Macaca fascicularis: one gene and its partner. The protein of the gene in region 1 purifies or fractionates together with the protein of each later gene. This does not show direct contact. Links are inferred from orthologs where the notes say so. Each region holds a gene or a part of one and is shown on either strand. Other genes may lie near its edges.

What was found.
Region 2: the proteins of MTHFD2 (region 1) and HRAS purify together in Homo sapiens (co-immunoprecipitation; 4 studies listed by BioGRID and IntAct, with this or other methods). This does not show direct contact. The link is inferred for Macaca fascicularis from reciprocal best matches to the Homo sapiens genes MTHFD2 and HRAS.

What each region holds. Positions count from the first base shown.
Region 1 is NC_088387.1:47,737,629-47,753,547, reverse strand, and holds part of MTHFD2 (bifunctional methylenetetrahydrofolate dehydrogenase/cyclohydrolase, mitochondrial), read left to right. Parts: intron 1-5,511; coding exon 5,512-5,696; intron 5,697-7,807; coding exon 7,808-7,930; intron 7,931-8,708; coding exon 8,709-8,861; intron 8,862-9,790; coding exon 9,791-9,898; intron 9,899-11,323; coding exon 11,324-11,416; intron 11,417-12,150; coding exon 12,151-12,276; intron 12,277-14,854; coding exon 14,855-15,018; 3' UTR 15,019-15,919. UniProt on the Homo sapiens protein: Although its dehydrogenase activity is NAD-specific, it can also utilize NADP at a reduced efficiency.
Region 2 is NC_088388.1:425,292-440,571, forward strand, and holds HRAS (GTPase HRas), read right to left. Parts: upstream 11,009-15,280; 5' UTR 10,592-11,008; exon of another isoform or gene 10,576-10,591; intron 8,980-10,575; exon of another isoform or gene 8,835-8,979; intron 7,798-8,834; 5' UTR 7,748-7,797; coding exon 7,637-7,747; intron 7,354-7,636; coding exon 7,175-7,353; intron 7,024-7,174; coding exon 6,864-7,023; intron 6,769-6,863; exon of another isoform or gene 6,687-6,768; intron 6,166-6,686; coding exon 6,046-6,165; 3' UTR 6,041-6,045; intron 5,933-6,040; 3' UTR 5,648-5,932; downstream 1-5,647. Other genes in the region: LRRC56 (leucine-rich repeat-containing protein 56), read left to right, coding at 14,101-14,277, 14,934-15,021. UniProt on the Homo sapiens protein: Involved in the activation of Ras protein signal transduction. Ras proteins bind GDP/GTP and possess intrinsic GTPase activity.

The DNA of each region.
Region 1 (15,919 bases):
CCTTCTTACTACTGCTTATTTTTAAATACTGCTTATTTTTAAAATGTATCTTTTTGAAAATATGAGTCTGCATTCCTTTTTTTTTTTCTTTGTTGGTTGGTATGAGAGTTTCAGGAACATAAACCTATGGTTGGAGAAATTGTAGCCTAGGAGACTGGGGTTATGAAGTCAGTGGACTTTAGAGGCAGAATTTGCCTTTGAATCTTGTTTCTACTATCCTCAGTTTCATCTTCTGTATAACAGTGTTATTATAATAGTCCCAAGGTGACAGAGTAATATATGTTAAAGTCTAAGCAAAACACCTAGTGTTTAATAGATGTTTGTTCCATTTTCCCTTGTGTCTTCCTTCACTCATTACTTTTCCCATTAATAATTGATAACAACTCTTCCCTAAATCACTTGATTATGAATTGTAAAATGCCCTGATACTAATTTATCATGGAAAATTACAGTACTGTAAGCTGTTGAATTAAAAGGAAAGTGAAGATGCTACTCACTTGGATTTTAGTTTTGAATTTTATTTTATTTTTTGAGACGGAGTCTCACTTTGTTGCCCAGGCTGGAGTGCAATGGTGCAATCTTCGCTCACTGCAACCTCTTGCCTCCTTCCTGGGTTCAAGCTGTTCTCCTATCTCAGCCTCCCAAACAGCTGGGACTATAGGCGCACACTACCATGCCCTGCTAATTTTTGTATTTTTAGTAGAGACGGGGTTTCACCATGATGGCCAGGCTGGTCTCGACCTCCTGACCGCAAGTGATCCACCCGCCTTGGCCTCCCGAAATGTTGGGATTACAGGCGTGAGCCACAGTTTTGGATTTTATTTGAACAGTCCTCTTGACTTCTTCCTATTCTGTTGATTACGTATTTTAATGGGAATTTTTCTTTTTTATGTATTTTTTTTTTTTGGCAGGGGAATTTCTCTCTTGGTGAGGTTGGAGTGCAGTGGTGCAATCATGGCTTACTGCAGCCTTGACCTCCTGGGCTCAAGTGATCCTCCCACCTCAGCTCCCTGAGTAACTGGGACCCCAGGAGCATACCACCATGCCTGGCTAATTTTTTTTTTTTTTAACTTTTAGTAGAGATGGGGTCTCGCCATGTTGCCCATGCTAGGCTTGAACTTGGCCTCCCAAAATGCTGGGATTACAAGTCTTGTGCCACCATGACCAGCCCTGGGAATTTTTTCTAAACACATCTGTGAACGCATTTAATTCTGGGATAACTGCTAGCTAATATAGTTACAATTTTGGATTCCCCGTGGGACTTAGCTGACTTTCCATTTCCCTGTTTATTTTGGGGTAGCAGTTAATCTGCCCCTTGGCAAAAGAGATGATGGTAAATTAGTTAATGACTCACTCCCAAGGCTGTATTTCACATTTTGCAGGGTTGTGGGAAGCAGAGGAGGGCTGACAGTTTTACTATGAAAGATACTCATTGCAAGTGACTTTGTTTTTGATTCTTGTTACTCTTTGACTGTTTTTCATTCTTTCTTTTTCTTTTCTTTTTTTTTTTTTTTTAAGCAAATTGGCATAACATCAAGAACCTGCTTTTGGAAGCAAAGTTGGGGACTTGGAACACTGGCTTTTCCCAGAACCCTGTGTCCTTAACTTTAGTATATGATTTTATCTGAATGTGCTCATACCATTTTCTCTAAGTTTACTGCTTTCAAAAGAAATTTTTATGAGGTGCAAGCTAAGTCATTCTCACTGAGTATTTATATATACATATAGTATACATACTTATATATATCTCCTTATGAGTATGTGTAAGTATATTTTAAGGATATGTGTGTATGTGTGCGTATATATACATGTATACAAAACGAAGAGAAAAGAATAAGAAATTAGTTTTATTGAACATATATGCCTGGCACATTATATATGTTTGTTATTTCATTCAATATAAATGACTGTTCTAAGCCCTTTTAAAGTAGTCTTTCACTCTGTAGTGTTCCAGGATTAGGAATGTATTTTTGGCCTGTGGTGGGCATTCCAGGTACTAATATAAATCAGGAATGTTGCCAGGTATATTTGTATCAGCAAACCCCCCACTGTCTTTTTCTTTCTTTCTTTTTTTTTTTTTTTTTTTTGAGACAGAGTCTCTATCTGTTGCCCAGCCTGGAGTGCAGTGGCACGATCTCTGCTCACGGCAATCTCTGCTCAATGCAATCTCTGTCTCCCGGGTTCTATCGATTCTCCTGCCTCAGCCTCCCAAGTAGCTGGGACTACAGGTGTATGCCACCATGCCTGGCTAATTTTTTGTGTTTTTAGTAGAGACGGTTTCACCATGGGAGCCAGGATGGTCTCAATCTCCTGACCTCGTGATCTGCCCGCCTTGGCCTCCCAAAGTGTTGGGATTACAGATGTGAGCCACTGTGCCCAGCCTGCAAAACCCTTTTAATAAAGTCCCCTTCGACTCTAATTCTGAAATGGAATTGTGAATATTAATATGTTTTCAATTTTTTCATATACCATGGGTATAATTAAATGCTATTATATGTTGTGCCATGCTAGTATCATTATGTAAAATCTGGGTAAAAGTATTTGATTTGCTTAAGATTATGATAGCTTTTTTCTTTTTTTGAGATGGAGTCTTGCTCTGTCACACAGGTTGGAGTGCAGTGGTGGGATCTCGGCTCACTGCAACCTATGCCTCCTGGGTTCAAGATACTCTCCTACCTCAGCTCCCGAGTAACTGAGATTACAATTACAGGCTTCTGCCACCATGCCTGGCAAATTTTTGTATATTTAGTAGAAGTGGGGTTTCGCCATGTTGGCCAGGCTGGTCTTGAACTCCTGACCTCAAGTGATATGCCCGCCTTGGCTTCCCAAAATGCTGGGATTACAGGCATGAGCCACCGTGCCCAGCCAGATTATAATAACTGAATACTTCACAAGATGCAATACAGATTAAGATTAAGTTTAGATATAAGATTATTGCATTATATCTAAGATGTTGAGATTTGGTTTGAAGTTGGTATTTAATCATAATGCAATAAAAAGCACTTATTGAAGGCCTAAAGATTGTGAATGCTTTAAAATCCCATTTAAATTAGCAGTTACTGCCTGGGTGCAGTGGTGGGTGCCTGTATTCTCAGCTACTCAGGAGGCAGAAGCTGGAGAATTGCATAAACCTGGGAGGCTGCAGTGAGCTGAGATCATGCCACTGCACTCCAGCCTGGGCAACAGAGCAAAACTCTTGTCTCAAAATAAATAAATAAATAAATTAGCAGTTATCTTGAGAATTAATTTTATCTGACCCTATAGGTTATTCAGTACCTTGATGTTAGGTTTTAGAATAAAGAGGAGATTGCTTCGTTGGTCTTGAGGTTAGAGCAGTCTTCATGACAGCAAGGACAGAGATCTAAAGGGAAAGGCTTTTTCTTTTTTTTTTTTGAGGCGGAGTCTCGCTCTGTCGCCCAGGCTGGAGTGCAGTGGCGCGATCTCGGCTCACTGCAAGCTCCGCCTCCCGGGTTCCCGCCATTCTCCTGCCTCAGCCTCCCGAGTAGCTGGGACTACAGGCGCCGCCACCACGCCCGGCTAATTTTTTTGTATTTTTAGTGGAGACGGGGTTTCATTGTGTTAGCCAGGATGGTCTCGATCTCCTGACCTCGTGATCCGCCCGTCTCGGCCTCCCAAAGTGCTGGGATTACAGGCTTGAGCCACCGCGCCCGGCCGGGAAAGGCTTTTTCAAATGGGATCATTTTACTTACGGAAGAGATGCTCATTTTATTTTATTTTATTTTTATATTTTATTTTATTTTATTTTGAGATGGAGTCTTCCTGTGTTGCCCAGGCTAGAGTGCAGTGGGGCGATATCAGCTCACTGTAACCTCTGCCTCCTGGGTTCATGCGATTCTCCTGCCTTAGCCTCCCGAGTAGCTGGGATTACAGGCATGCACCACCATGCCCAGCTAATTTTTGCATTTTTAGCAGAGAGGGGTTTTCGCCATGTTGACCAGGCTGGTCTCGAAGTCCTGACCTCAGGCAATCCACCCGCCTCGGTCTCCTAAAGTGCTGGGATTACAGGCATGAGTCATCGCGCTGGGCCAGATGCTCATCTTTAAGTAATGGGCACTTTATTGTAAGGACGTGTGAAAATAGGAAAACTGGGACTGTTCCATATTTGGGCTTCATGGAACCCGGGAAGAGCTGCATAAGCAGTTCGCTTTGGGAAGACACAGCCTTTCGCTCAGCTGAACGTGGTTTTGGGAACTGGAGGTTCTTCTAGATCCTGATTTTTCTTCTTGCTCCCCACCCCAGCAACAGTTTTTTGATTTCTTATCCTGTTGTCTCCCATTGGTGTGACTATTCTGTCTCTTCTGTCTATGTTCTGTGGTTCTAGTTTGAACTGCCTCAGGGACGAGCTCTTACTGGTTCAGCTAACTCTCACTGCTCTGTTGAGCTAAGCTTTTGCACCAACTGGACCACTGGGCAGCCTAGAGATTGTTGGTTGCCCTTGGCGTCAGATACTCACTCCTGGTCTGTCAGCTTTGGATGATGTGGTGGGGTCCCTGGGAAGAGCACATTGCCAACTGTGAGAAGGAGCTTCCTCTTTCTCCAGTCCCCTGCCCTGCCCTGCCCCTATTCTTACCAGGAAAGTCTTCCCCAGAAGGGACTGCGGGGAGTGGTATTCATTTTGATGTTTGACTTGTCCAGTATATTGTTTGTTTGTTTGTTTTTGAGACAGAGTCTAGCTCTGTCACCCAGGCTGGAGTGCAGTGGCATAATCTCAGCTCACTGCAACCTCTGCCTCCCGGGTTCAAGTGATTCTCCTGCCTCAGCCCCCTGAGTAGCTGGGATTACAGGCGTCCACCACCACACCCAACTAATTTTTGTATTTTTAGTAGAGACGAGGTTTCACTGTGTTGGCCAGGCTGGTCTCAAACTCCTTACCTCGTGATCTGCCCTCCTCAGCCTCCCAAAATGCTGGGATTACAAATGTGAGCCACCACGCCTGGCCTGATATTGTTTGTTTATTCAACTACAGAATATAATTTATCTATTTAAAAGCACCATAAAAATGAAGTCAATTGACTGGGAAATGATTTGAAATACATGCCTGGCTGCTAACAACAGGGGCAAAACATGAACTACAAATGGCATATAAGCAGATAAGAAGAACTATTTAACCTCATGGTGACGGGTCACACAACTGCAAATTAAAACTGTAAAAAACTTAGTAATGATCAGGGCTCAGGGTGGTGTAGCAGTTAAGAGCCCAAACTGATGTGAGACTCAGCTTGACCAAGCACTAGCTGTCAGTCACTTAAACTCTGAGCTTCATCAACTTTATCCCCCTCCATATGTAGCTGGATATATTTATTTCTTTAGCAGAGACAGGGGTTTTGCCTTGTTGCCCAGCCTGGTCTCAAACTCCTGGGCTCAAGCCATCTTCCCGCCCTGGCCTCCTGAAGTGCTGGGATTATGGGCATAAGCCACTACACCTGGCAGAATTTTCGTTTTTATAAAAATTCAAGTTATTTGGTTTTGTGACTCTGTTGCCTTCTGCAGAAATGAAGCTGTTGTCATTTCTGGAAGGAAACTGGCCCAGGAGATCAAGCAGGAAGTGCGGCAGGAGGTAGAAGAGTGGGTGGCCTCAGGCAACAAGCGGCCACACCTGAGCGTGATCCTGGTTGGGGAGAATCCTGCAAGTCACTCCTACGTCCTCAACAAAACCAGGGCAGCTGCAGATGTGGGTATGTGTCCTTTTGAGACCTCGAATGCTGTTCAGTTGAGGTTTATATGAGGCAAAGTCCATTGTAATTTATGATTTCTTTTTTCTGATTAGGAAACCCAAGCAGAGGAGGCTAATGTGATTGAACTGTATCCCAAAACTTTGTCATAGGAAATCAGACTGTATCTTTCAGGGTTTATAGACTAGGACAGGAGATACTTACTGGTTGGTATTCTCTGTGGCTTCTGGAAAGAATATAAGGCACGTTCTGTTCTTAGTCTTTCCATTTGATAGGTGACCCTGAATACATTTTACATTTGCTTTCCTTGAGCAATAATGGGTCTCCAGCAGAGGTGTTCGAGTGTTTGCAGTTTAAAGCCTTAGAGGCTTAGGGGGCATGATTGAACAATACAGTATTAGGAGATCTCAGTGATGAGGTCAGGAACACAGTCATAGATTTGAAGGAAATGACTCTTGACTTCTGGGAAAGAGCTTTCAAGTTCTTCACCGATTGGTTCTAAAGGCAAACGTGCAGTTTAGAAGCAGTTCGGGTCTGGATGATGGGGTTTGTGTTCTAGGCCTCATGGTACCACAGATTACTATGTGTCTGTGGACAAGAGGTGGGTGGGCAGACTCAGATATGCCTCTGCCTGCCCATCTGTGGGCCCGTGGTCTGAGCATGAGCAGCAGGTGGCCTTTCCTTCTGAAGGGCTGTGAAACCACTGGCATGGCTGGGAGGGGTTACTGGCCTGTGAGCCCGTGGTTTCCTCTATTCTTTACCATTGAGGATTGAGGCCTCCTGCTCTTTTAATGGAAAGCCTTTAGAAACTTCTAGAAAATGGCAAGCCATGGCTTTTTTTTTTTTTTTTTGAGATGGTGTTTCTCTCTCGTTGCCCAGGCCGGAGGACAATGGCGCAGTCTCAGCTCTCCACAACCTCCGCCTCCTGCCTCAGCCTCCCGAGTAGCCGGGATTACAGGCGTGCGCCACCATGCCTGGCCAATTTTGTATTTTCAGTTGAGATGGGGTTTCTCCCTGTTGGTCAGGCTGGTGTCAAACTCCCCGACCTCAGGTGATCCGCCCGCCTCGGCCTCCCAAAGTGCTGGGATTACAGGCGTGAGCCACTGTGCCTGGCCAAGCCATGGCATTTTAAGACATTGGGAGGTAGTGTGGTGCAGAAAAAAAGAGCATGGATTTTGAAACCAGAAAGACTGGCTGTATTATTAGCTCGCTTATTTTTATTTTTTATTTATTTATTTATTTTTTTTGAGACGGAGTCTCGCTTTGTGGCCCAGGCTGGAGTGCAGTGGCCGGATCTCAGCTCACTGCAAGCTCCGCCTCCTGGGTTTATGCCATTCTCCTGCCTCAGCCTCTCGAGTAGCTGGGACTACAGGCGCCCACCACCTCGCCCGGCTAGTTTTTTGTATTTTTTAGTAGAGATGGGGTTTCACCGTGTTAGCCAGGATGGTCTCGATCTCCTGACCTCGTGATCCGCCTGTCTCGGCCTCCCAAAGTGCTGGGATTACAGGCTTGAGCCACCGCGCCCGGCCAGCTCGCTTATTTAGTTATTTATTTAGACATGAGTCTTGCTTGCTCTGTTGAGCCGGCTGGAATGCAGTGGTGAGATCTCAGCTCACTGCAACTCCCACCTCCCAGGTTCAAGCGATTCTCCTGCCTCAGCCTACTGAGTAGCTGGGACTACAGGCACCCACCACCATGCCCGGCGAATGTTTTGTATTTTTAGTAGAGACGGGTTTTCACCGTGTTAGCCAGGATGGTCTCCATCTCCTGACCCCATGATCCGCCGGTCTTGGCCTCCCAAAGTGCTGGGATTACAGGCATGAGCCACGCGCCTGGCCTAGCTCGCTTATTTTTAAATCTCTCTGAGCCTCAGTCTGTCTGTAAAATAAGGTTAATGAGGATTGCATAGAATGAGGTATACAGGATGTGTTAAGCTAGTATTCTCTAGTGTATATATTTGTGAAGTTACTTTTTTAGGTTCCTTGAGCTACTTCAGCTTCTAGGGATGGGTGTGATGATACAAAACCTGTATGGTAGCCAAGTATGGTAGGCAACATAGCAGTGCTCATTAAATGCCTCAAAAATTTTTTTAACCTCAAAATTTCCTATAATAGGAATAAACAGTGAGACAATTGTGAAACCAGCTTCAATTTCAGAGGAAGAATTGTTGAATTTAATCAATAAACTGAATAATGATGATAATGTAGATGGCCTCCTTGTTCAGCTGCCTCTTCCAGGTGAGTTTTGGACTCTACCATTTAAATGATTGCTGCTGCTTCTGCTCCTCCCCCTCCCCCTCTCCCTCCCTCTCTTCCTCTCCCTCCCTCTCTGCCTCTCCCTCCCTCTCTGCCTCTCCCTCCCCCTCCCTCTCCCTCTCCTTTCCTTGTCTCACTCTGTCACCCAGGCTGGAGTGCAATGGTACAATCATAGCTTATTGCATGCTCAAGCTCCTGGGTTCAAGGGATCCTCCTGCCTCAGCCTCCCACATAGCTAGGACTATAGGTGTGTGCCACCATGCCCAGCTACTTTTTATATTTTTCCTAGAAATGGAAGTCTTTCTGTGTTGCCTGGGCTGGTCTTGGACTCCGTGCTTCCCAAGTGCTGGAATTACAGGCATGAACTACCATGCCCTACCTAAAATGATTTCTGAGGAGTAAAAAGGCCTTGTTATTTTATACACCTGGCTCTTCATGTGGATTTGGCTTAAAGGCAAAGTAAACGCAAAAGAGTGAATATTTTATTAGAATGGGACAGACCAACTCAGAATACCCATTACCCCTTGATTTAGTATTGGGGTCTTGATATGAAGGACAGTGGAGGGAAGCAACTGAGAGATGATACTGGCTTTGCTATTGGTGTTTGGCTTTGCTTATGCGAGTTCCTTCCATGCAGATGAAGTACATCTCGGAGGCAAGCTGTAGAAGAATGGATTTCCTTGAGGAAGCAGATAAGCTGGAGTCAGGCAGTGCTGACTGTGAGGTGGTGATTTAAGGCAACTGCCGATTTCTTTTTCAGAGCATATTGATGAGAGAAGGATCTGCAATGCTGTTTCTCCAGACAAGGATGTTGATGGCTTTCATGTAATTAATGTAGGGCGAATGTGTTTGGACCAGTATTCCATGTTACCGGCTACCCCATGGGGTGTTTGGGAAATAATTAAGCGAACTGGTAGGTATATCCCAGAATTGTATGTCTGTTAATATTATAAAAGTACCTGCAAATGGTAAAAACTCATAATACAGTCCCAAAGAGTGGAAACCCCACCCCATATCCTCTAGTCATACTCCCCAGAGTTTACCTCTCTTAACAGTTTTTTTTTTTTGGTTTTTTTTTTGTTTGTTTGTTTGTTTTGAGACAGGGTCTTGCTCTGTGACCCAGGCTGGAGTGCAGAGGCGCAATCTTGGCTCATTGCAGCCTCCGCCTCCTGGGTTCAAGTGATTCTTGTGCCTCAGCCTCCTGAGTAGCTGGGACTACAGGCACACGCCACCATGCCCAGCTAATTTTTTTATTTCTAGTAGAGACAGGTTTCACCACATTGGCCAAGCTGGTCTCGAACTAACCTCAAGTGATCCGCCCCCTCACCTCCCAAAGTACTAGGATTAGAGGCATGATCCATCATGCCTGCCCTTAACAGTTGCCTATGACAGTTTTTGCTTTTAATCTGGAAGCCTCGGTGAGGGAAACTTTCTTTTTTTCTTTTTAATCTTTTCTTTAAGAGTCAAAGGTTTCACCATGCTGCCAGGCTGGTCTCAAACTCCTGGCCTCAGGCAGTTCTCCTACCTTAGCCTCCCTGGCCTCAAGCAATCCAACCTCCTGCTGGGATTACAGGTGTGAGCCACCACCCCAGCCCTCAGTGAAGGAAATTTAAGATTTAATAGTGGTGACAGTGCACATTCCTGTAACATTTTGTAGCCTATAGTATGCTTTCTCCTGTTTTCTTTTAGCCCTTATGTGTAGCAAGTTACAGCTCCAGTTGACTGATGAGGCAGTAAGCTCAGTGACTTCACTATCAAAATTGGCTTCATGTTCTAGGCCATCTGACTTTGTTTTGCTTTGGACTGGCACTACTTTTAATGTAAACACATATATTTTTATAGGTATTCCAACCTTAGGGAAGAATGTGGTTGTGGCTGGAAGGTCAAAAAATGTTGGAATGCCCATTGCAATGTTACTGCACACAGATGGGGCGCATGAACGTCCCGGAGGTAAGGAAATTGCTTTCAGGGAACACTGTCCCTTTTTCCCCATGTAAGAACTCTCAGAAGCCATCCTGTGCATTTTTGGAAGTATTAACTGTGTTATACTTTGTATTTGTTGAAATTTTGTTAACAGATAATTCAGGGAGTAACCTTTGTAGAGAAGCTGCACCCAGTGTCGCCTGAGTTTCTTTATTATTCATGTATCATGTAACTAGCTTCAGAAATAAACTTAAGTTTTGAGTATAAGCATGATTATAGGCAATTAGAAAATTTCAGCTATAGCTTTGATAGCTGGAGCTAAGGAGCAGTTCTTATTCAAAGATACTGTGTCATTTAGTGGAAAAAATCTTAAGCCGTTGCAAAGGATTGAATTGATATGACTGTAATGTGTCCTGTCAAGTTCTGTTAATTGGTTCTAAGGTAAAGCCTCGTGAATCTGTTATCACATAATTATTGTAATAATGACCTTACATGATTATATCAGAAATAATGGCAAAACTATACTTTCAACAATCTTCAACATACTTAAAACAACCTTGAGTAATTCTAGTGATATTTTGCTTAGAAAAGGTAAAATTCTTGAAAGGCTTTAAAAATACGATGAATAAATTTAATTATATGACTCAAAACAGTCGAGCTGCCGGGCGCAGTGACTCAAGCCTGTAATCCCAGCACTTTGGGAGGCCGAGGCGGGTGGATCACGAGGTCAGGAGATCGAGACCATCCTGGCTAACATGGTGAAACCCCGTCTCTACTAAAAATACAAAAAACTAGCCGGGCGTGGTGGCGGGCGCCTGTAGTCCCAGCTACTCGGAGGCTGAGGCGGGAGAATGGTGTGAACCCGGGAGGCGGAGCTTGCAGTGAGCCGAGATCGCGCCACTGCACTCCAGCCTGGGCGACACAGCGAGACTCCGTCTCAAAAAAAAAAAAAACAGTCGAGCTAGGACCAATGGTTTAAAGCTATATGAAATTAGGTATTAATTTTAAAAAAGTAAATGACAATTAGCTGTCCAGAAAATATGGCACAAGCCATTAAGTCAGTTTTTTGTTTGTTTGTTTTTGGAGAGGGAGTCTTGCTCTGTTGCCCAGGCTGGAGTGCAGTGGCACAATCTTGGCTCACTGTAACCTCCACCTCCCAGGTTCAAGCGATTCTCGTGCCTCAGCCTCCCAAGAAAGCTGTGATTACAGCCATGCACCACCACACCCAGCTAATTTTTGTATTTTTAGTAGAGATGGGGTTTCACTATGTTGGCCAGGTTGGCCTTGAACTCCTGACCTCATGATCTGCCCACCTTGACCTCCCAAAGTGCTGGGATTACAGGCGTGAGCCACCGCACTATTGTTGAGTTTCTACAGTGACTTGACTAGTTGAGACCTAATCCAGTCCCAGCTTTGTGTCAGAAATCAAGACATCTATTGTTTTCTTTCTAGGTGATGCCACTGTTACAATATCTCATCGATATACTCCCAAAGAGCAGTTGAAGAAACATACAATTCTTGCAGATATTGTAATATCTGCTGCAGGTAAGAACACAAGGTGAATGGAGGGAAGGGGAGGTTGTACCCCTCATCTTAGAATTCGCCTGCCTAGCTACTATTCATCCTTCCCCTCATGATGATTCTTTGAGCTGCCTACAAAGATGAGGATAGAGTTGTGATTGGAATACTGGTTTCTAGCATTCCATTATAGTCTGGATGGGTGAATGTTATTCCTAAAGCTTCAAAATATTTATATTAATATTTACTGTATAAAGTTCAAACGGTTCCTTTTGTTTCCTGTCAGGAACCAAAATAAATAATAAAAGTAAATGGTTCCTTAGTTAATATTTTTAACAGGTTTTAATAAAACATGTTAATTTGGGCCGGGCGCGGTGGCTCAAGCCTGTAATCCCAGCACTTTGGGAGGCCGAGGCGGGCGGATCACAAGGTCAGGAGATCGAGACCACAGTGAAACCCCGTCTCTACTAAAAATACAAAAAATTAGCCGGGCGCGGTGGCGGGCGCCTGTAGTCCCAGCTACTCAGGAGGCTGAGGCAGGAGAATGGCGGGAACCCGGGAGGCGGAGCTTGCAGTGAGCCGAGATCGCGCCACTGCACTCCAGCCTGGGCAACAGCGTGAGACTCCGTCTCAAAAAAATAAATAAATAAAATAAAACATGTTAATTAGTTCTTCTAGGTCTCTTGAAATTGAAATTAGACAACAGTCTGACAGGTAGACTGTTTTCAGTACTAAGCTTTTTTTCCTTTCTCCATTTCCAGGTATTCCAAATCTGATCACAGCAGATATGATCAAGGAAGGAGCAGCAGTCATTGATGTGGGAATAAATAGAGTTCATGATCCTGTAACTGCCAAACCCAAGTTGGTTGGAGATGTGGATTTTGAAGGTAAATGGTAAAATTTTATTTTTAAAAATGAAATCAATAAGTACTACCTTTCATGGACATTTAGAATAGATTATTTACTTTTTTTTTTTGAGATGGGAGTCTCACTCTGTTGCCCAGGCTGGAGTGCAGTGGTGTGATCTTGGCTCACTGCAACCTCTGCCTCCCAGGTTCAGGCGATTCTTCTGCCTCAGCCTCCAGAGTAGCTGGGACTCCCAAAGTGTTGGGATTATAGGTATGAGTCACTGCACCTAGTCCGTATGCGTTTCCCTCCCTCCCTCCCTCCCTCCATCCATCCATCTTCCTCTTCTTTCTCTCTTTCTCTTTCCTCCTCCCTCCCTCCCTTCTTTCCTTTTCCTTTTTTTCTTTCTTTCTTTCTTTCTTTCTTTCTTTCTTTCTCTCTCTGTCTCTTCCTTCCTTCCTTCCTTTCCTTTCCTTTCTTTCTTTTTTCTTCTTTCTGTCTCTCTTTTTCTTTCTTCTTTTTTTAAAAACAGTCTCATTCTGTCACCCAGGCTGGAGTGCAGTGGCACCATCTCGGCTCACTGCAACCTCCACCTCACAGCTTCAAGCAATTCTTGTGCTTTCAAGCCTCCCCAGTAGCCAGGATTACAAGCATGTGCCACCACGCCCACCTAATTTTTTGTATTTTTGGTAGAGATGGGGTTTCGCCATGTTGGCCACGCTGGTCTGATCACTCCTCAAGTGATCCTCCCACCTTGGCCTTCCAAAGTGCTGGGATTACAGGTGTGAGCCACTGCACCTGGCCTTAGTATGCTTTTCATAAGAATTAGAGAAACCGGCCGGGCGCGGTGGCTCAAGCCTGTAATCCCAGCACTTTGGGAGGCCGAGGCGGGTGGATCACGAGGTCAGGAGATCGAGACCATCCTGGCTAACACGGTGAAACCCCGTCTCTACTAAAAAATACAAAAAACTAGCCGGGCGAGGTGTGGGCGCCTGTAGTCCCAGCTACTCGGGAGGCTGAGGCAGGAGAATGGCGTGAACCCGGGAGGCGGAGCTTGCAGTGAGCTGAGATCTGGCCACTGCACTCCAGCCTGGGTGACAGAGCGAGACTCCGTCTCAAAAAAAAAAAAAAAAAAAAAGAATTAGAGAAACCTTTTTAAAATTACAGCCATTCTAGAATTATTTTAGTTGTTTCATCATAGTGATGGAGAGCAGTTATAAACTTTTCAGGGAATTGTTTTTTTCCTTAGAACTTACTTCATAATTCAAGCAATTTCTTGACTTTTAACAAGTTTGAAAATTTGATGAAGTGATTTTTATAAACCATGGAGTCTCCCAAAAAGTGTTGAGAGTTCCCATTTTCACACTGAGACATCACAGGCCTAGCAAGTTAAAATGGTCCAGGAAAAAACCATACCCCTGAAATACTAGAATATACTAGTAGATGTCTCTTTTCAGTTATTTTTTTAAGAGGCAGTCTCACTCTGTTGCCCAGGCTGTAGTACAGTGGCGTGATTTCTGCTCACTGCAACCTCTGCTTCCCAGGTTCAAGTGATTCTCCTGCCTTAGCCACCCGAGCAGCTAGGATTACAGGCATGTGCCACCACGCCGGCTAATTTTTTGTATTTTCAGTAGAGATGAGTTTGGCTCTGTTGACCAGGTTGGTCTTGAACTCCTGGCCTTAAGTGATCTGCCTGCCTCAGCCTCTCAAAGTGCTAGGATTACAGGTGTGAGCCACTGCACCTGGCCTCTCCCTTCAGTTCTTAAGATAGAATGTTTATCTGAATATATGCTGATAATCCTTTTTTTTTCTTTCCTTTTTTTTTTTTTTTTTTTTTTTTGAGACAGGGTCCCTCTCTTTTGCCCAGGCTGGAGTACAGTAGCATGATCTCAGCTCACTGCAGCCTCTGCCTCCTGGGCTTAAGCAGTTCTCCTGCCTCAGCCTCCTGAGTAGCTGGTACTATAGGCACATGTCACCTTGCTTGGCTAATTTTTGTATTTTTTGTAGAGATGGGGTTTCACCATGTTGCCTAGGCTGGTTTCAAACTCCTGGCCTCAAACAATCTCCCCCACCTCACACTCTGCCTCAGTCCCCCAAAGTGCTGGGGTTACAGGCATGAACCACTGTACCCAGCCTATGCTGATAATCCTATTCCTAGCTTTCTGTTTTTATTAAAGCAGTCAAACCCATGCCTAGGTATGTAAGGATTTTCACTTTAACATTAGGGTAATTTTTTTTTTTTTTTTTACTTCTCACTTTTAAAAAATTACTGTGCTTTCTGCTTTGGACAAATTATACTTAATAAAATGCTGTAGGCAGCTATTGAGGTAATGCTTATTATTATTATACTTACAACTCCCACGCAGTTAACCTACTAGATGTTTAATAGATTTCTTTATAGGTTACTTAGATGTATAAATATTCCTTTAACAATTCTGTATGTGCATGTTATTTTACTAGTGTATTCACAAAACCTTGAATGATGTAGATGTGATTTTTGAGTTTTATGCTTATGTATGTTACTTTTTCCTTCCTTGCATGCTTGTTTCATAATATATTAAAGTACACACATGTCCTTTGCCATAACTAAAGCAGCCTGCCTGTCTTGTTTCTATGTAGGAGTCAGACAAAAAGCCGGGTATATCACTCCAGTTCCTGGAGGTGTTGGCCCCATGACAGTGGCAATGCTAATGAAGAATACCATTATTGCTGCAAAAAAGGTGCTGAGGCTTGAAGAGCGAGAAGTGCTGAAGTCTAAAGAGCTTGGAGTAGCCACTAATTAACTATTGTGTCTTCTATGTCACAAACAGCACTCCAGGCCAGCTCAAGAAGAAAAGCAGGCCAATAGAAATGCAATATTTTTTATTTATTCTACTGAAATGGTTTAAAATGATGCCTTGTATTTATTGAAAGCTTAAATGGGTGGGTGTTTCTGCACGTACCTCTGCAGTACCTCACCAGGGAGCATTCCAGTATCATGCAGGGTCCTGTGATCTAGCCAGGAGCAGCCATTAACCTAGTGATTAATGTGGGAGACATTACCATATGGAGAATGGACGCTTCCCTTTGTCAAACTTGGTTACACATTTGCCTTTTCTAGGATTGCATTTCCCAAGTGCTATTCTAATAACAGTTGAATACTCATTTTAGGTACCAAACCTTTTGAGTTCAACTGATCAAACCAAAGGAAAAGTATTGCTAGAGAAAATTAGGGAAAAGGTGAAAAAGAAAAAATGGTAGTAATTGAGCAGAAAAAAAATTACTCTAATTTATATGTGTATTGATTGGTAACCAGATTTATCTAAGTAGAACTGAATTGGCTAGGAAAAAAGAAAAACTACATGTTAATCGTTTTCCTAAGCTGTCTTTTTGAGGTTTAGTCATTGGGAAAATGTTTAGGATTATTCCTTGCTATTAGTACTCATTTTATGTATGTTACCCTTCAGTAAGTTCTCCCCATTTTAGTTTTCTAGGATTGAAAGGCTTCTTTTATACATTATTCATGTGTGTTGTCATATTTGGCTTTTGCTATATACTTTAACTTCATTGTTAAATTTTTGTATAGTTTCTTTGGTGTATCTTAAAACCTATTTTTGAAAAACAAACTTAGCTTGATAATCATTTGGGCAGCTTGGGTAAGTATGCAACTTACTTTTCCACCAAAGAACTGTCAGCAACTGCCTG
Region 2 (15,280 bases), on another chromosome or scaffold:
TGGTGCACGCTGTAGTCCCAGCTACTCAGGAGACTGAAGCAGAAGGACCACTTAGGCCAGGGAGGTCGAGGCTGCAGTGAGCTACCATCACACCACTGCACTCCAGCCTGGGGGACAGAGCCAGACCCTGTCTCCAATAAATAAATAAATAGGCCAGATATGATGGCTCACACCTGTAATCCTAGCACTATGGGAGGCCAAGGCACATGGATCACACTGAGCTCGAGGCTCAGGAGTTCAAGACCAGCCTGGACAACATGGCGAGACCACGTCTCTAGGGAAAAAAAAAAAAAATTTTAAATTAGCCTGGGAGGTCGAGGTTGCTGTGAGCCATGATCACTGCACTCCAGCCTGTCCGATATAAATAAAATGAAATAATAAAAAATAGGCCAGGCGGGTGGCTCATACCTGTAATCCCGTCATGATCCTTCCCTTTGGGAGGCCAAGGCAGGCAGATCACCTGAGGTCAGGAGTTCAAGACCAGTTTGGGCAACGTGGTGAAACCCCGTCTCTAATAAAAGTACAAAAAATTAGCCAGGCGTGGTGGCGGATGCCTGTAGTCCCAGCTACTCGGGAGGCTGAGGCAGGAGAATCGCTTGAACCTGTGAGGCGGAGGCTACAGTGAGCCAAGATGTGCGCCACTGCACTCTAGCCTGGGCAACAGTGAGACTCCATCTCAAAAATAATAATGAAATAAAAACAAACAAAACCAAAAATAAGATGAAGACTTGAACAAAAACTTCAGCAAAGGGCACCTGCAGCACACACAGCAGTGCTAAGGAGATGCCCAGGCTGTGGCCACCAGCAGACTGCAAACTGAAACCATAATGAGATCCCGCAACACGCCCAAGATGAAAATCACGGCGGCAGGACTCCGATGCGTCCTGGCTGAGAAGGCTGAGAAGGCAAGCGGCCTGGCAAGCTGGAGAGTCATGTGCAGAGTCAGGCACGCACCACAGGACCCAGCAACCCTGCCCCTGGTGTCTTCCCTAACAAACTGAAAGTCTATGTCCTCAGGGGCACGGTACGCAAATGCCTATGGAGGCTCCAGTCGTAACAGGCAAGACCTGGCAGCGAACTAAATATTCTTTAGCAGGTAAACAACCTGTGCTACATCCCTACAAAGAAATACTACTCAGTACGGGAGGCTGAGGCAGGAGAATGGCGTAAACCCGGGAGGCGGAGCTTGCAGTGAGCAGAGATCCGGCCACTGCACTCCAGCCTGGGTGACAGAGCGAGACTCCGTCTCAAAAAAAAAAAAAAAAGAAAAGAAATACTACTCAGTAGTTGGGTGCGGTGGCTCACACCTGTAATCCCAGCACTTCGGGAGGCCAAGGCGGGTGGATCACCTGAGGTCAGGAGTTCGAGACCAACCTGGCCAACATGGCAAAACCCCGTCTCTACTAAAAATACAAAAATTAGCCGGGTATGGTGGCAGGTGCCTGTAGTCCCAGCTACTGGGGAGGCTGAGACAGGAGAATCACTTGAACCTGGGAGGCGGAGGTTGCAGTGAACCGAGATTGTACCACTGCACTCCAGCCTGCGCAACAAAGCGAGACTCTGTCTCAAAAAAAATTTTTTTTTGCAATGTGTCATGCGCCATTGCTAACCACAGGCACCATGCACAGTGAACTCCGGGACTCACGCATCTTCCCAGACTGAAATCTGTTACCAGTTGAACAGCAGCTCCCAGCTCCGCTCCCCAGCCCCTGACCACGGCCACCCTACTTTCTGCTTCTGAGTTTGACTATTGCCTAACAGCAGAGGAATTGTGCAGAATTTCTCGCTTAGCAAAACGGTAGGGTAAGGTTTTTGTTTGGTTTGTTTTGTTTTTGAGATGGAGTCTCGCTGTGTCGCTCAGGCTGGAGTGCAGGGGAACCATCTCGGCTCACTGCAAACTGTGCCTCCCAGGTTCACGCCATTCTCCTGCCTCAGTCTGCCCAGTAGCTGGGACTACAGGCGCCCGCCACTACGCCCAGTTAATTTTTGTATTTTTAGTAGAGACGGGGTTTCACTGTGTTAGCCAGGATGGTCTTCATCTCCTGACCTCATGATCCGCCCGCCTCAGCCTCCCAAAGTGCTGGGATTACAGGCGTGAGCCACCGCGCCTGGCCTGTTTTTTGTTTTTGAGACAAGTCTTGCTTTGTTGCCCAGGCTGGAGTGCAGTGGTGCTATCTCAGCTCACGGCAACCTCCACCTACCGGGTTCAAGCGATTCCCCTGCCTCAGCCTCCCGAGTAGCTGGGATTATAGGCGCCTGCTACCACGCCCGGCTAATTTTCCTATTTTTATTAGAGACGGGGTTTCACCATGATGGCCAGGCTGGTCTTGAACTCCCGACCTCAGGTGATTCACTCACCTCCGCCTTCCAAAGTGCTGGGATTGCAGGTGTGAGCCACCGCGCCCGGCCTGAAACCCTGCATCTTTATCCAGGCCTCCCTGGATGGATGTTGGGAGAGTTTACGCGTGGCTGTGGGGGATGGCTGTGGCAGGCTCTCGGCTATCAGAGGGCTCCATTGCGAGGAGGCAGCTGGTGGCGAATCCTGAGCAGCGATGTGATCCGAGGGGCAGGCGGCAGGTGGGACGGAAGCTGATGTCACACAGATGAGTCCCCCACCTCCCGCCAGGCTTCCTCCACCCTCTTGGCAGCCCAGCAGGGTCTGTCAATCAGTGGGACCTGGTCAGCGGGCGGCTGGGGGACCTCAGGCAGGGGGCTTGTCCTTGGGACCTTGCAGCCTCCAGCAAGGGGGACATTCACGGCACCCAGGAGGGCTCCTCCAGAAGGTGAGACACGGGCACTGAACCCAGCCCTTTACACAAGACCTGAGTCCACCGAGGGAGGGGGCCAGCCCCCTCCCCGCATCTGCATCCCCATGACCACCCCAGGTGGAGAGGGCTGAGTGTGGTGCCCCTGCGGATGCTCTGACGATCGCCTCAGGCCACGGGGGTGACAGTGACTTAGACCTGTGTGCACGTGAGTGGGACAGCCAGGCCTAGCTGGAGAACACACACACACACACGTTCACCCACATACACGTGCACTCACACGCTGACAGTTCAGGGGGTGGACACTGACTCCAGGCCCGGTTGACCTGGGCAGGGCGCTGTTGTGACATCTGCAGCCACCCCACAATGTCACCGGTGCCAAGTGCCCAGCATGTGTGGAGTAGGTGGGGACACGGCGGGTGTCCGAGAGGGGCTCTGCATCCAAAGGCAAGAGGTGGGTCTCAGCACAGCTGCCCTACCCCATGGTATGGCGACGGTCACTACCAGGTGGCCTGCGCTGGCCTCCATGTGGCTGCCAAGGGTCATCCCTGAGCACTCAGCGGGTGCCCGTTCCACGCGGACTGTGCAAACGACTGTGTCATTCACCTCATGGCAACCCCATGGGGTGGATACGAACGCACGCATTTGAGAAGTGACATCCGAGGTCAGGGGGGAGGAGACAGACCCAACCTTGGCCGTGCTCTCCAGCCCTGCCCTGCGCTGGACCCAACCTAACCTCTGCAGCCTCCCTGCCCTGGACACAAATCTGGCTGAGACCCCAGACCCTGATGGGGCAGAGCCTGGCACTGCAAGAGCCGCCAGGATGGGCCCCCTGGGTGTGGGCAGAGGGTGGTCCTCAGTCCAGGTTTTTGCCAGAAGATGGGTCCCTGCAGGAGGGGGTCTCAGCAGCTCAGACTTCAGATGCAGTCACTGTTGCTTGCTGGGGGACGGCCAGACACGGAGCCCTCTGTTCTCCGGCAGTTGTGGACAATGAGAGAGCCGTGGATTTGCGGGTCAGGGTGCAGGGACGGGCTCTCCCCACACAGCCCTCCCACAGTCTTGTTCTCTGGGATTGGCAATTTGCAGGGGCGTCCCCAGCATCAGACCGGGGGGGGGGCTACACAGGGACCCAGATCCATGGGGCCTAGCCTCCGCAGGTAACCCCAGACATCAAGACCCTCCTTAAGGGGATGAGCTGGCTCTCCGCTGCCCATCAGCGCAGCTCCGGAATGCCAGGGGACAGGGCTGGAGAGCACGGCCAAGGCAATGTCCGCTCCCACAAGGGGGCCTGGTCCTCCCACACACTGGCCTGGCCAGGCTGTCCCCGAGGCCAAGGCCTAGTGGCATGAGGGGGCTTCGTGGAGCCCAGGGCAGTGGGCTGCTCTCTGGAGTCCCCAGGACCCTGGCTGTGGCTGGCCAGAGTCCCTGGACCCTGGGTATCAGGACAGACCCCAGGTTGTCCAGTGGTTCCCGTGCTGGAACTCCTGTCGAAGCCACCCAGGGACCTGGTGCTTTCCACAGTTCAGCATGGAGCAGCGGTGCTGGGCCCTGTCCCCTCCGCGTCTGTCCTGGATACCCCAGGACCACAGCACGGGTCAAGCCCTGCAACCCCAGTGGGGACCTGACACCAGGCCCTGCCCAGCCCCATAATGACCAAGAGGCAGGTCCAGAGACACCCCCCTGCACAGGGTCACCTGCATCTGACCCCCTCGGCAGGCAGTGACCGGCACGGTGTGGAAGGAGCCAGGGCAGTACCTGGCAGCCCCAAAGGGCTCCTGGCCTCAGGAAGTCTGTATCGATGGGGAAGCTGGTCACTTGGAGGCTGCTGGAGAGAAGGGCAAGTGTGGCATCTCCTGGACAGAAGGGTGAGTGTGGCGTCCCTGCAGCCCTGGCCGGCCAGCAGCACGCCCTGCAGTCTCTTGCCCAACCTCTGCGACGGGGACCCCTGACAGGGCACAAGTCCCCATCCCAGAGAGGCCTGGCCCAGCTTCAACCCGAGCCCTGGGAGGGGAGGGGCACCAGGGGTGCCGTGGGCCTCCAGCAGCAGCCAAAATGACCACACGGGTGACTGAGCACTCTGTGGCTGTGGCCAGACATAGAACTTGGCCCAAGGCAGGGCAAGCCCCTTGGAGCAGAGTGGATGGCTGAGCCTGTGCGTACCCAGCAAGGCCGAACCAGTGACGCTACCAGGCTCCAAGAGCAGCCAGCCATGAGGCAGGGGCGGGGCGAGGGTGGGGTGAGGGCAGGGGCGGGGGAGGGCGGGGCGAGAGCAGGCGGACCAGCTGCCAACCTCGTCCACTCCAGGAGGCAGGGATGGCCAGGCTCCCACGCCCTAGTGGCCGCCACCCGACCACCAATAAGGCAGAGGCCTGAGGCCAGTCGGTGCTGGAGCCCTAATTCCAAGGTCCACAGACTGCTCCAGGCCAGAGAGATGAAGAAAACTGGGTATGTGAAGGCCCAGGAGGCAGAGTCCCTATGTCTGCCATTCTTGGCAGGTGCATTTCACCATGGGAAAAAGTCAGGAAAAGCGACGCCTCTCACTGCCAAGGCGGCTCCCAGGTAGAGACCAGAGCCGCCGGCACAGATCCCCAACCCCTGAAATCACCTCCCTCTGGAGAACCGTGATGCCCTCCTAGTTGGTAGCAGCGCAGTAAGCTCTCCTTATGATCTGCCTGCTTGTCCAGAGCTCTCTGCCGGAATCCATGGACACTCTGGGGCAGGCAGGAGGAGACAGCAGCACAGCCCAGACCCCTGACCAGCCTCTCCCAACCTCCCCCTCCCAAAGGCTGTGGAGAGCCCAAGGCTGGACAGGCCCGAGGTTCCGACATACCTCACGCCAGGCCACACGTGCACCGTGTCCCACCCTCAGCCAAAATCCAAGGTCAAGACCATCCAATAATTTACTGCGATCCCATCTGCGCCTGACAAGGGCCCACAGAGGCCTGGGAGGGGAGCTAAGGGCTGGGGTTCTGGTAGCATCTGGGATGCTCAAGACAGTCTGTGCAAAGCATCCCTGGGAGGGTCTGCGGTCACTTCGGCCCATGGTCCCTGGGTGGCTGGGCTCCAGCAGCCCTTCCTTCCTTCCTTGCTTCCGTCCGTCCTTCCTCCTCCTTCCTTCCGTCTGCACCTCCTCCCTGCATCCGGCACCTCCATGTCCTGAGCTTGTGCTGGGCGGGGCACAAAAGAGGCTGCTGATCGCAGGCGAGGAGACCGGCAGGGGTGGGGAGCCCGGGGTCATCCGGTGGGCGTGGCGGCCGCCCTGGGAGCCCCCTCACCTGCGTCAGGAGAGCACACACTTGCAGCTCATGCAGCCGGGGCCACTCTCATCAGGAGGGTTCAGCTTCCGCAGCTTATGCTGCCGAATCTCACGCACCAATGTGTAAAAGGCATCCTCTACTCCCTGGAAAAGGAGAAATGGGATCAGGAGGGACAGGCCTGTGGCCCCCTGCCTAGGTGAGGGGTTCCCTGCTGTGCGATCAAGCCGTGCCTGGCCCAAGGCTCCCGACTCCACCAGCCACTTCCCCAGGCCCACCACACACACAGGAAGCTGGGCTCTGGTCATCTCGAAGAGCCCAGGGCCACCTGCACCACGCTACAGCAGCCCCTCAAAGGTCAGGGTGGCCCAGGACCCTCCTGAACTCCAGATCTGGCCAGGGTTTGACCACCCTGCACCCAGCTCTCATCTGAGCTATGGCCAGTGTCCCCAGCAGCCTCACTAAGACTCAGAACCAACAGGTGCCCGTGGGACACTCTGGGGACAAGAGGGGCTGGGCCCCAGGGTCACCGCTCCGGCCTGGCTCAGGGCAGCTCTCCCCAAGGACCTCCGCCTTCCCCGGAGCTGTGTCGGCCCAGGACTGCAGGGCGTGAGCCCAGACCCCGGCCCTTGCCTCCCTCACTGCCCTGCCGTCCCGGGAGACTTACAGCGCGAGGGGCCGCTGGGTCACATGGGTCCCGGGGGGTCCCAGAGGGTCCCGGAGCTGGAGCCAGAGCCAGAGCGGCTGCCCTGTGTCAAGGGAGAGGGGTGAGTGAGTGCTGCTCCCTGGCTGGGGCGGGGCGGGGCGAGTCCCTGGCTAGCTGTGGGCTGGAGAGCTGCCTCACCTGTCGCGTCTTGGCCGAGGTCTCAATGTAGGGGATACCATAGCTTCGGGCGAGGTCCTGAGCCTGCCGAGACTCCACGGTGCGTGCAGCCAGGTCACACTTGTTCCCCACCAGCACCATGGGCACGTCGTCTGAGTCCTTCACCCGCTTGATCTGCTCCCTGGGAGGAAAAGTGAGAGCTGGCTATAGGGGCTGCAGGCACGACTGCATCCAGGACATGCACAGAGAGGACAGGAGGCCCCTGTCTGGGCACAGCCGGCCTGACCCCACTTGTGCCTCATGGGCTCCCGGGCCAGCCTCAAGGGGTTCACCTGTACTGGTGGATGTCCTCAAAGGACTTGGTGTTGTTGATGGCAAACACACACAGGAAGCCTTCCCCCGTGCGCATGTACTGGTCCCGCATGGCGCTGTACTCCTCTTGGCCGGCTGTGTCCAGGATGTCCAACAGGCACGTCTCCCCATCAATGACCACCTGTTTCCGGTAGGAGTCCTGCAGGAGGACAGAGCTCAGGGACCCCTCAGGACCCTCCATGCGGGGAGTTCACAATGCCAGCCTCTCCCTGTACCTCTCATGCCCCTCTCATGCCCCCTCATGCCCCTCTCATGCCCCCTCTCCTGGGGTGCTGAGACGAGGGGCTCCCCTTCTCTGGAGGAAGCAGGAGACAGGCCCAGAGCACCATGCAGGGCCAGGGGCCGCAGCCACCCCTATCCTGGCTGTGTCCTGGGCTCGCCCACAGCAGCTGCCGGGACCTGGACGGCGGCGCCAGGCTCACCTCTATCGTGGGGTCGTATTCGTCCACGAAGTGGTTCTGGATCAGCTGGATGGTCAGCGCACTCTTGCCCACACCGCCGGCGCCCACCACCACGAGCTTATATTCCGTCATTGCTCCTCAGGGGCCTGCGGCCCGGGGTCCTACAGGGTCTCCTGCCCCACCTGCCAAGGATGGTCCTGCTCAGCCAGGCCCAGGCCCCACAGGGCAGCTGCTGGCAGAGCCATCTGAAGAGCAAACCCATAGCGGGCCCTGGGTCCCAACGCCAGGCAGCAAGGACTGCAGCGTGCCTACCTGTGCAGCTGCAAACCAGCGCGGGGGAGGGCTGTCGCCTCGCCCCCACTTGCTGTTAAGGACCCAGTGAGGGGAAAAGGGAGCCAGCCTCCAAAGGCAGGGCTGACAGCTGAGCGCTCTCAACCAAATTAGAAGCTGCTGGGTCGGCAGAAAGACTAAAGGGAGGCGCCCGAGGGCTGAGGTTACCGTCCTCCTAAACAGGTCTGGCCACGGCGGAGCGCGCCACGGCGTGCCCGGGCAGGCCAGTGCCAGCCTGCAGGCCCCGTGGCGCTGGTGCCTCCGACAAGTATTTGCTGAGCGCCTACTGCGTGCTAGGCGCCGCTGAGGGGAGGGCAGACCCGGGCAGCGCCCCGCGCCCCCGGCGGGGAACCGGGGGCATCTTTCAGCCACAGAAAGCTGGAAAAGACAGAGGGGCTCCTGGGAAGCAGGGGCTGAGCCACAGGAAGGGGCCGAGAGGCGGCGCGGGAGACCCGGAGAGGGGAAGGGCCCTGGGGCTGAGGCCCCCGGCCTCGTCCGCGACCTGTGATGCTGAATCGGGGGTGCCCGGGCGTGCCGTGGCCGCGGCCGCCTCCGCCCAGACGCGCCTGGTTATGAGGGCGCCGGGCCCGAGGCTCCCGGGGACGCCGGCGTGAGGACCGTGCCCAGAGCGAGGCCACGGGCGGGGCCCGGATTCCCGCAGGCCCCAGGGACTAAGGGGCCTCAGCCCGCCCCCGCCAGCCGCAGCCCCCGACGCCCGCTCACCTGTGCCTGGGGGCCCCGCCCGGCCCGGCCCGGCCCCACCCACCCACTACCGCCGCCGCAGCCGCTCACGCCCGCCGGTCCCGCGCCCCCGGCCCGCGCCGCGCGTATGGCTGCCGCCTGGGGGCGGGGAGGGCGCGCGGCCCGGCCGACCCCGGCCCGCACTCACCGCTCAGTGGCGCGACTGCCCCCGGGGCCGGGGCCGAGGCCAGGGGGGGGCGGGGGCGGGGGCGCGCGGTTCTCCCCGCGCATGGGCTCCGTCCGCGGCGGGTGCGGCTGGGGCTGCAGGCGCAGGGAGCGGGCGGCGGAGACTCGGCCGGGCTCGCGCACGCCCCACCCCGCGCCCGTCCGTCAGCCCTGCGCGACCTACCATTGGCCTCGCTACACCAGGCCCCGCCCCGCCCCGGTTGGCTGAGCGGCCCGTCTGTCAGGAGCCGCGGTCGGGCAGGGCTTCCGGGAGCAACGCGGGAGGCGGAGCCAGAAGGGCCGCGGCCTCGGGGGGTTGGGCTAGGCCGGCGAGCGGAGGCAAGCTCGGGGTTGCTCAAGGAGGGCGAGGGAGCAGGTGTCTGGGGGCCTGCGGCGGCATATCCGAGCAGGGCCGTGGACTCTCCCGGGAACAGGCCGGCGAGAGAACCCGACTCAGCGGCGCCCGTGCACTCGAGGCCCTCCCTGCGTCCGCAGCGCGGCGTCGCCCACCGCGGAGGTCCCGGGGCTCCGGCTGAGGAAAGGCTGGGATCCGTCGGGACCAAGGCGGGCCGCTCGGAGCTGGGGGCCCCCGGGTGGCCGCGGGGTCCGGTTGCCCGGCTCCCCTTCCGCGCAGGTGGAGTGGCCCCGCACCCGGACGGTGCGCACCCCGCCTCCTCCGCGCACCCCACCTACCACACGCACCCCAGCTCCCCTACTCCCACCTCAGCCCACCCCGAGGACGCCTTGCAGCTCCGGTGGGGTTTCGAGCGGCGGGCGCAGCCGTGCTCCCTGGGGCCAGGCGTGAGAACGCCCCCTCCACCACTTCTCTTACTTGGGCCTGCGTGGCAGGCGACCCTGCCCGCTCAGTCCCCCCAGACTTGAGGTTCCAACCATGCAGAAGCTCAGCGTGGTGCAGTTAAACGGTACCTACAGGTTGCCACAGGAGAGCGAAGTGCCCAGGGCTCACCCCAAGCACAAAGACCACATCCTAGCTCTTTCAAACCCCAAAAGACGTGTTTTTTTTTTTTTTTTTAACATTTTTTTAAATTGCAAAGGAATCAGAAATACATTCTCATTAAAAAGCAAAAGGGCCATCCTGGCTGACACGGTGAAACCCCGTCTCTACTAAAAAATACAAAAAACTAGCCGGGCGAGGTGGCGGGCGCCTGTAGTCCCAGCTACTTGGGAGGCTGAGGCAGGAGAATGGCGTGAACCCGGGAGGCGGAGCTTGCAGTGAGCTGAGATCCGGCCACTGCACTCCAGCCTGGGTGGCAGAGCGAGACTCCGTCTAAAAAAAAAAAAAAAAAAAAAAAAAAAAAAGCAAAAGGGGCCGGCCGCGGTGGCTCACGCCTATAATCCCAGCACTTTGGGAGGCCTAGGCCGGTGGATTACTTGAGGTCAGGAGTTCAAGACCGGCCTGGCCAACATGATGAAATCCCGTCTCTACTAAAAATGCAAAAAATTAGTCGGCTGCAGTGGCGCGAGCCTGTAGGCCCAACTACTCAGGAGGCTGAGGCAGGAGAATCGCTGGAACCCGGGTGGCGAATGTTGCGGTGAGCCGAGATCGCGCCACTGCACTCCGGCCTGGGTGACAGAGCGCAACTTCGTCTCAAAAAAAAGGCGTTTAAAAGAAAAAAAGGCGTTTTACGGTCAGGCAAACCCTGCCTCTGCCCAACCCAGTGCCCGCCCCGCCGCCACGCCCTCCTGCGCCGGTCGCCGCTGACCCGGGGCTCCACCCACGTGCGGTCCCGGGGGTCCCGCCTGCCGTCCATCCACCGCGCGGTCGCAGTCAGAGCCCGGCTCGGGGCGGACGCGCATGAACGCAGGTGAGAGGCGGCGACTGAACGGCGGGCGGCGGCGTGTCCCACGGGCCGGGCACTCGGGCGCGCTTCGGCATCCGGTCTGTGTTTCCTGGTCCTCCGGGGCGCTTGCCCCGGTGCTTCCTTTTGCTGTCGGCCTCACTTCCAATCGAAGGTCAGGGCGTCAGGCCTCGACCCCAGGGGCGACCCTTCCACGTGGGAAAGGTGGGCGGGAGCCTCCAGCAGAGACCGCCCTTGCCGGCCCCGCGTGGGAAGCGCCGGGATCGCGAGGAAACGCGACACGTGCACCGCGACGGCCCGGGCACGGAGCCGCAGGGAGCTGGCACCTGACGCGCCTGCGCCCACCCGACTTGGTGGCGCGTCACCTCCCCCGGGATCGCCCACCCAAGTGCCAACTCACGTGGCCCCGCCCTAGCGACCGTTGCTAAGGGGCGTGGCTCAGCCCCTCAGAACCCGAGCCTCCTGCGGCTTATAAATATTTGCGTATTCAAATGAGGACCCGCCCACGTTGCCATGGGACCCAGGCCGCAACCCCGCAGCCGGAAGAACAGCCTGGAGTAGGAGACAGCGCCTGGCGGCGGAGGGCGCCCAGGGCCGAGCTGCCAGGGCCGGACACCTGGGCTGAGCCCTCAGGTGAGAGCCGAGCGCACCCTTGGGGTGGGAGCCACAGGCCTCGCCGTATGCCTGGTGGCAGGAGGGAGCCTGCGCCGAGGCGAGGGCGCGGGGACTAAGCAGCACAGCCAACGGGGACCCAGTGGAGGCCCCGCACGTCAGATCTGGTCCCCTGGGGACCCTTGCCTCCACCACCCCCTGGCCCTGCACTGAAGGGGCTCCCTGTCAGGAGGCAGGAGGGGCCCCAAGCCTTGCCCCTGAGGGAGATGCAGAGGCAAGGACCCAGGGTGCTTGGAGTTCCAGGGTGGGGCTCAGCAGGGGAGCGGGCTCTGCCCTCCCAGCGTCCATGGTGAAGGGGCAAGGGCTGCAGGGGACCAGAGGTGATGAGCTACCCACCAGGGAATGGCACTAGCTGGGGTGTGGAGACAGAATTCCTCCAGTTTCCAATTTGGGGAGCATGGGGGCTCGCAGAGGGGACACAGGGTAGGAGCAGGACTGCGAAGTGTGCGGATGGGTTCAGGCCTGGGCGAGAACACCAGGAGCAGTGTCTGAGGTGGGAGTCCAGTGGGGGCTTGGGACTCCACAGCCTCCAACCCCTGGTCCTTGCACCCCTAGGCCTTGGGGCTCAGACCAGCCTGATACTCGGGCTCTTGGGCACAGAGGAGACAAGGGTGGCTGACTCAGCCCTTAGTGCCACCCATAGATGTCCTGGGGCTGCGCATGACCCGGCCAGCTCACGTACTCCATGAGGCTCAAGACTGGCAGGCCTGGGATGGAGGTGGCCAGAGTCTTTGGGGGAACGCAGTGGTGGGGTCCTGCTGTGAGGCCTGGGGCCTTCCACCATCTGGAGAAAGGCAGGCAGTGGGGGAGATTCTGGCTGGAAACTCCATGAGACTCTATTTTGAGCTTATCTTCTTTGATTCTTGGTGCATGGTCACCTTCCAGACCAGGCCACTGAGGCACCCGGAGCCTGAGCCGCGGCCCTGCTCCAACACTCCCGCCCACCACCTCTGTCAACGGCCGGCCAACTCGCCTGGCGCAGGGGCAGCTGTAGACAGGATGGAGAGGATACATCTTCAATGTCCATATGTGGTCAACAGATGAAAGCCACGGCCAGAAAGTTCTAAGTGGCTACATGTGCATCTGCCTGTTCACGGATTCCTTCCACAAATATTTGAGCGTCGTCTCCTGCGGCTGTGGATAGCAGAGGAGCACCCAGGCCACGTGCAGGCCACGTGCAGCCCACAGCGCTGGGGCGAGGCAGGCCCTCAACCGAACACATAGTAAGACACACAGGGCTCCAAAGAGAATTTGTCTCATCAGGAAGATAAATCTGGGAAGGCTGGGTGGGGAGAGGCTGGGTGAGGAGTGCTCTCAAGGAGTCAGTCCAGGTCCAGACGGAACAGAGGAAGGTGGTCAGGGAGGAGGATGCTGGATGCTCCAAGCACATTTCTCACTGCACCCCTGGAGCTCGTGATTCCAGGGTCTGCGGCCGAGGCAGATGTCTGCTTTTTTTTTTTTTTTTTTTTTTTTTTTTGAGACAGAGTCTCGCTCTGTCGCCCAGGCTGGAGTGCAGTGGCCGGATCTCGGCTCACGGCAAGCTCTGCCTCCTGGGTTCACGCCATTCTCCTGCCTCAGCCTCCCAAGTAGCTGGGACTACAGGCGCCTGCCACCACGCCCCGCTAATTTTTTGTATTTTTAGTACAGTCGGGGTTTCACCGTGTTAGCCAGGATGGTCTCCATCTCCTGACCTCGTGATCTGCCCGCCTCAGCTTCCCAGAGTGCTGGGATTATAGGCGTGAACCACTGCGCCCTGCCAGACGTCTGCATCTTTAAGGGGCAACACTAGGTAAGCCTGGTGCAGGTGGTCGATGGATACAGTGGGCTTAGAAAGAACGGGGTACAGGAGAGGGACACACTGGGCCAACACCCTCAGAGGCCTGGAGAGGGGCTCAGGAAGAACGGGGTGCAAGAGAGGACCCCTGTGGAGAAGGAGGGAAGTGGGATTTGGAATAGCAGCAGGCATCGTGTTGGGGAACCCAGAGATACCCTAGCATCGGTCACACACCTGACTCTGTCTTCCTCCTCGCCAGCTGGCCCCGTGGATGGTCAGGTCCTGGGCTGACCTGCTCACCTCTGGGTGCTGTGACCTCAGCCCGGCCCATTCCAGGTTCCCCTGGGCACAGTAACCTGGCCAGGAAGCCACCCTGACTCTTGCAGGTACTGCCTGAGGGCACATGCCGCCTCCTTGCCTGGATGTTTGACCCACAGCAGAAGAAAGCAGCTGCCTGCAGGAGAAGGGGTTTGGCTGGCACAGGGGTGGGGTAGGGGAAGGCCTGGGACCTGATCCTGGACCCCAGGCTCAGAGACCATCAGGTGGAGAAGGACCCATAGCCCACAGATTGAGGCAGCCCCGGGAGCCCCATAGCCACAGGCAGCTGGCCTGGCACCATCAGGCTCACAGCCCTCATGGTCCTCAGGTGGGGAGGCCTGGAGCCAGCACTCCCTGCATGGACCCTGAGGATGGGCAGAAACATAGGGAGGGCGTCCTACGGAGCAGAGGGGGTCGAGCCAAGGCTCGGGGAGGGGAACGTGAGGCCCTCCAGGCTGAAACTAAGCAGACTAGGGCTCCATGAGGCCCAGCCAAGCTAGGAGCCTTCTCTAGGCTCAGGGTGGGGGTGGGTGCCAAGGGCTTGATGTGTGTGTTGGCGGGGGCAGGGGGTTGAGGGCTGTGTCAGGGTCTCAGCCAGGCTACAGAGGAGGAGGAGCAACAGCTTGGAGCTTTGCGCTCTGCCTCTGTCAGCAGGTTACATGTGAATGGACCCAGGCTGGGACAGATCCCGTGGGCCTCGGCCGAGCACCTCCAGCTTCCGGGTGCGGGAGCTGAGCTGGCAAGGCCTGCACAACCCCTGCCCACAGAGCAAGGGCCCTGGCAGCCAGAGGGACAGCCTTGGAGAGCAGCTGGTGGAAGAGTACCTGTCCCCTGCCCGACTGGTGAGTGTGGGTGCTGGGGGCTGTGGCCACAGAGGCCTGTGTGGGGTGAAATCCCAGGGCTCCTTTCTGCTGGTGATCCAGCCTGCCCTCTGTCCCCCTCTTGCTGGTCTTGCCTGCTGATGGTTGGCCTCAGCCTGGCCCCTGCAGCTGGGTCCACTCCGCCCACTCTGCCTTTGGGACCCCTACCAGACCCCAAAACACCAGCAACACCAGGTGCTCGGTGACACAGATGTCCCCAGGCATTTGGGCCAGAACCCACAAGTAGGGGCTGAGCGTCCATTATCCTCCAACCAAAGAGGGGGTTGGTCCTTCACTCAAGCAGGAGACCAGACGGCTCAAAGCTCAGGGCAGGGCCAGGCGCGGTCCGGGCTCTGGGTGCCGGATGTGGTGTGTCTGCCCTGGGAGTCTCTTTGGAGATGGGCAGCCCCCAAGGCAGGTCCTTCTCTGGCAGTGGCCCTCCAGCCAAGTGCAGCCCAAGCTCTGCTCATGTCACGTCCATTTCCATCCCACCACCCAGACCAGGGCCAACATGGCCAAGGCAGGGAAAGGTCGGTGCCCACTCCAGCGGGAACCCCAGAGTCCTGCAGCCAGAAGCAAGGATGAAACTAAAGTGGGGAGAGCCAGGATCAGCACTGAGTCCCGGTTGGTTTCTACAGCAGGCCCTGGCCCGGGTGGATGACCTTCGGCTGGTGAGGGCGCTGGAGATGTGTGTGGACACCCGTGAGGGCAGCCTGGGGAACTTTGGTGAGCCTCATCCCACCCCACCATGGCCACAGCCATGGCCAGGCCTCTCCGTAAACAACGCACATTTCCTGGTTATGACAAAGCTGTCCTCACCTCTCGGGCCGCCTATTGACTTCCTTAGGGTTGATCTCTGACCTGAGGTCTGTGTCAGGTACAGGCAGAGGGCAATGCACTTAGGACCCCGCACACCACGCCAGTACCCCCAGCACACTCAGTACCCCACACACCCATGCCAGTACCCCAGCACGCTCAGTACCCC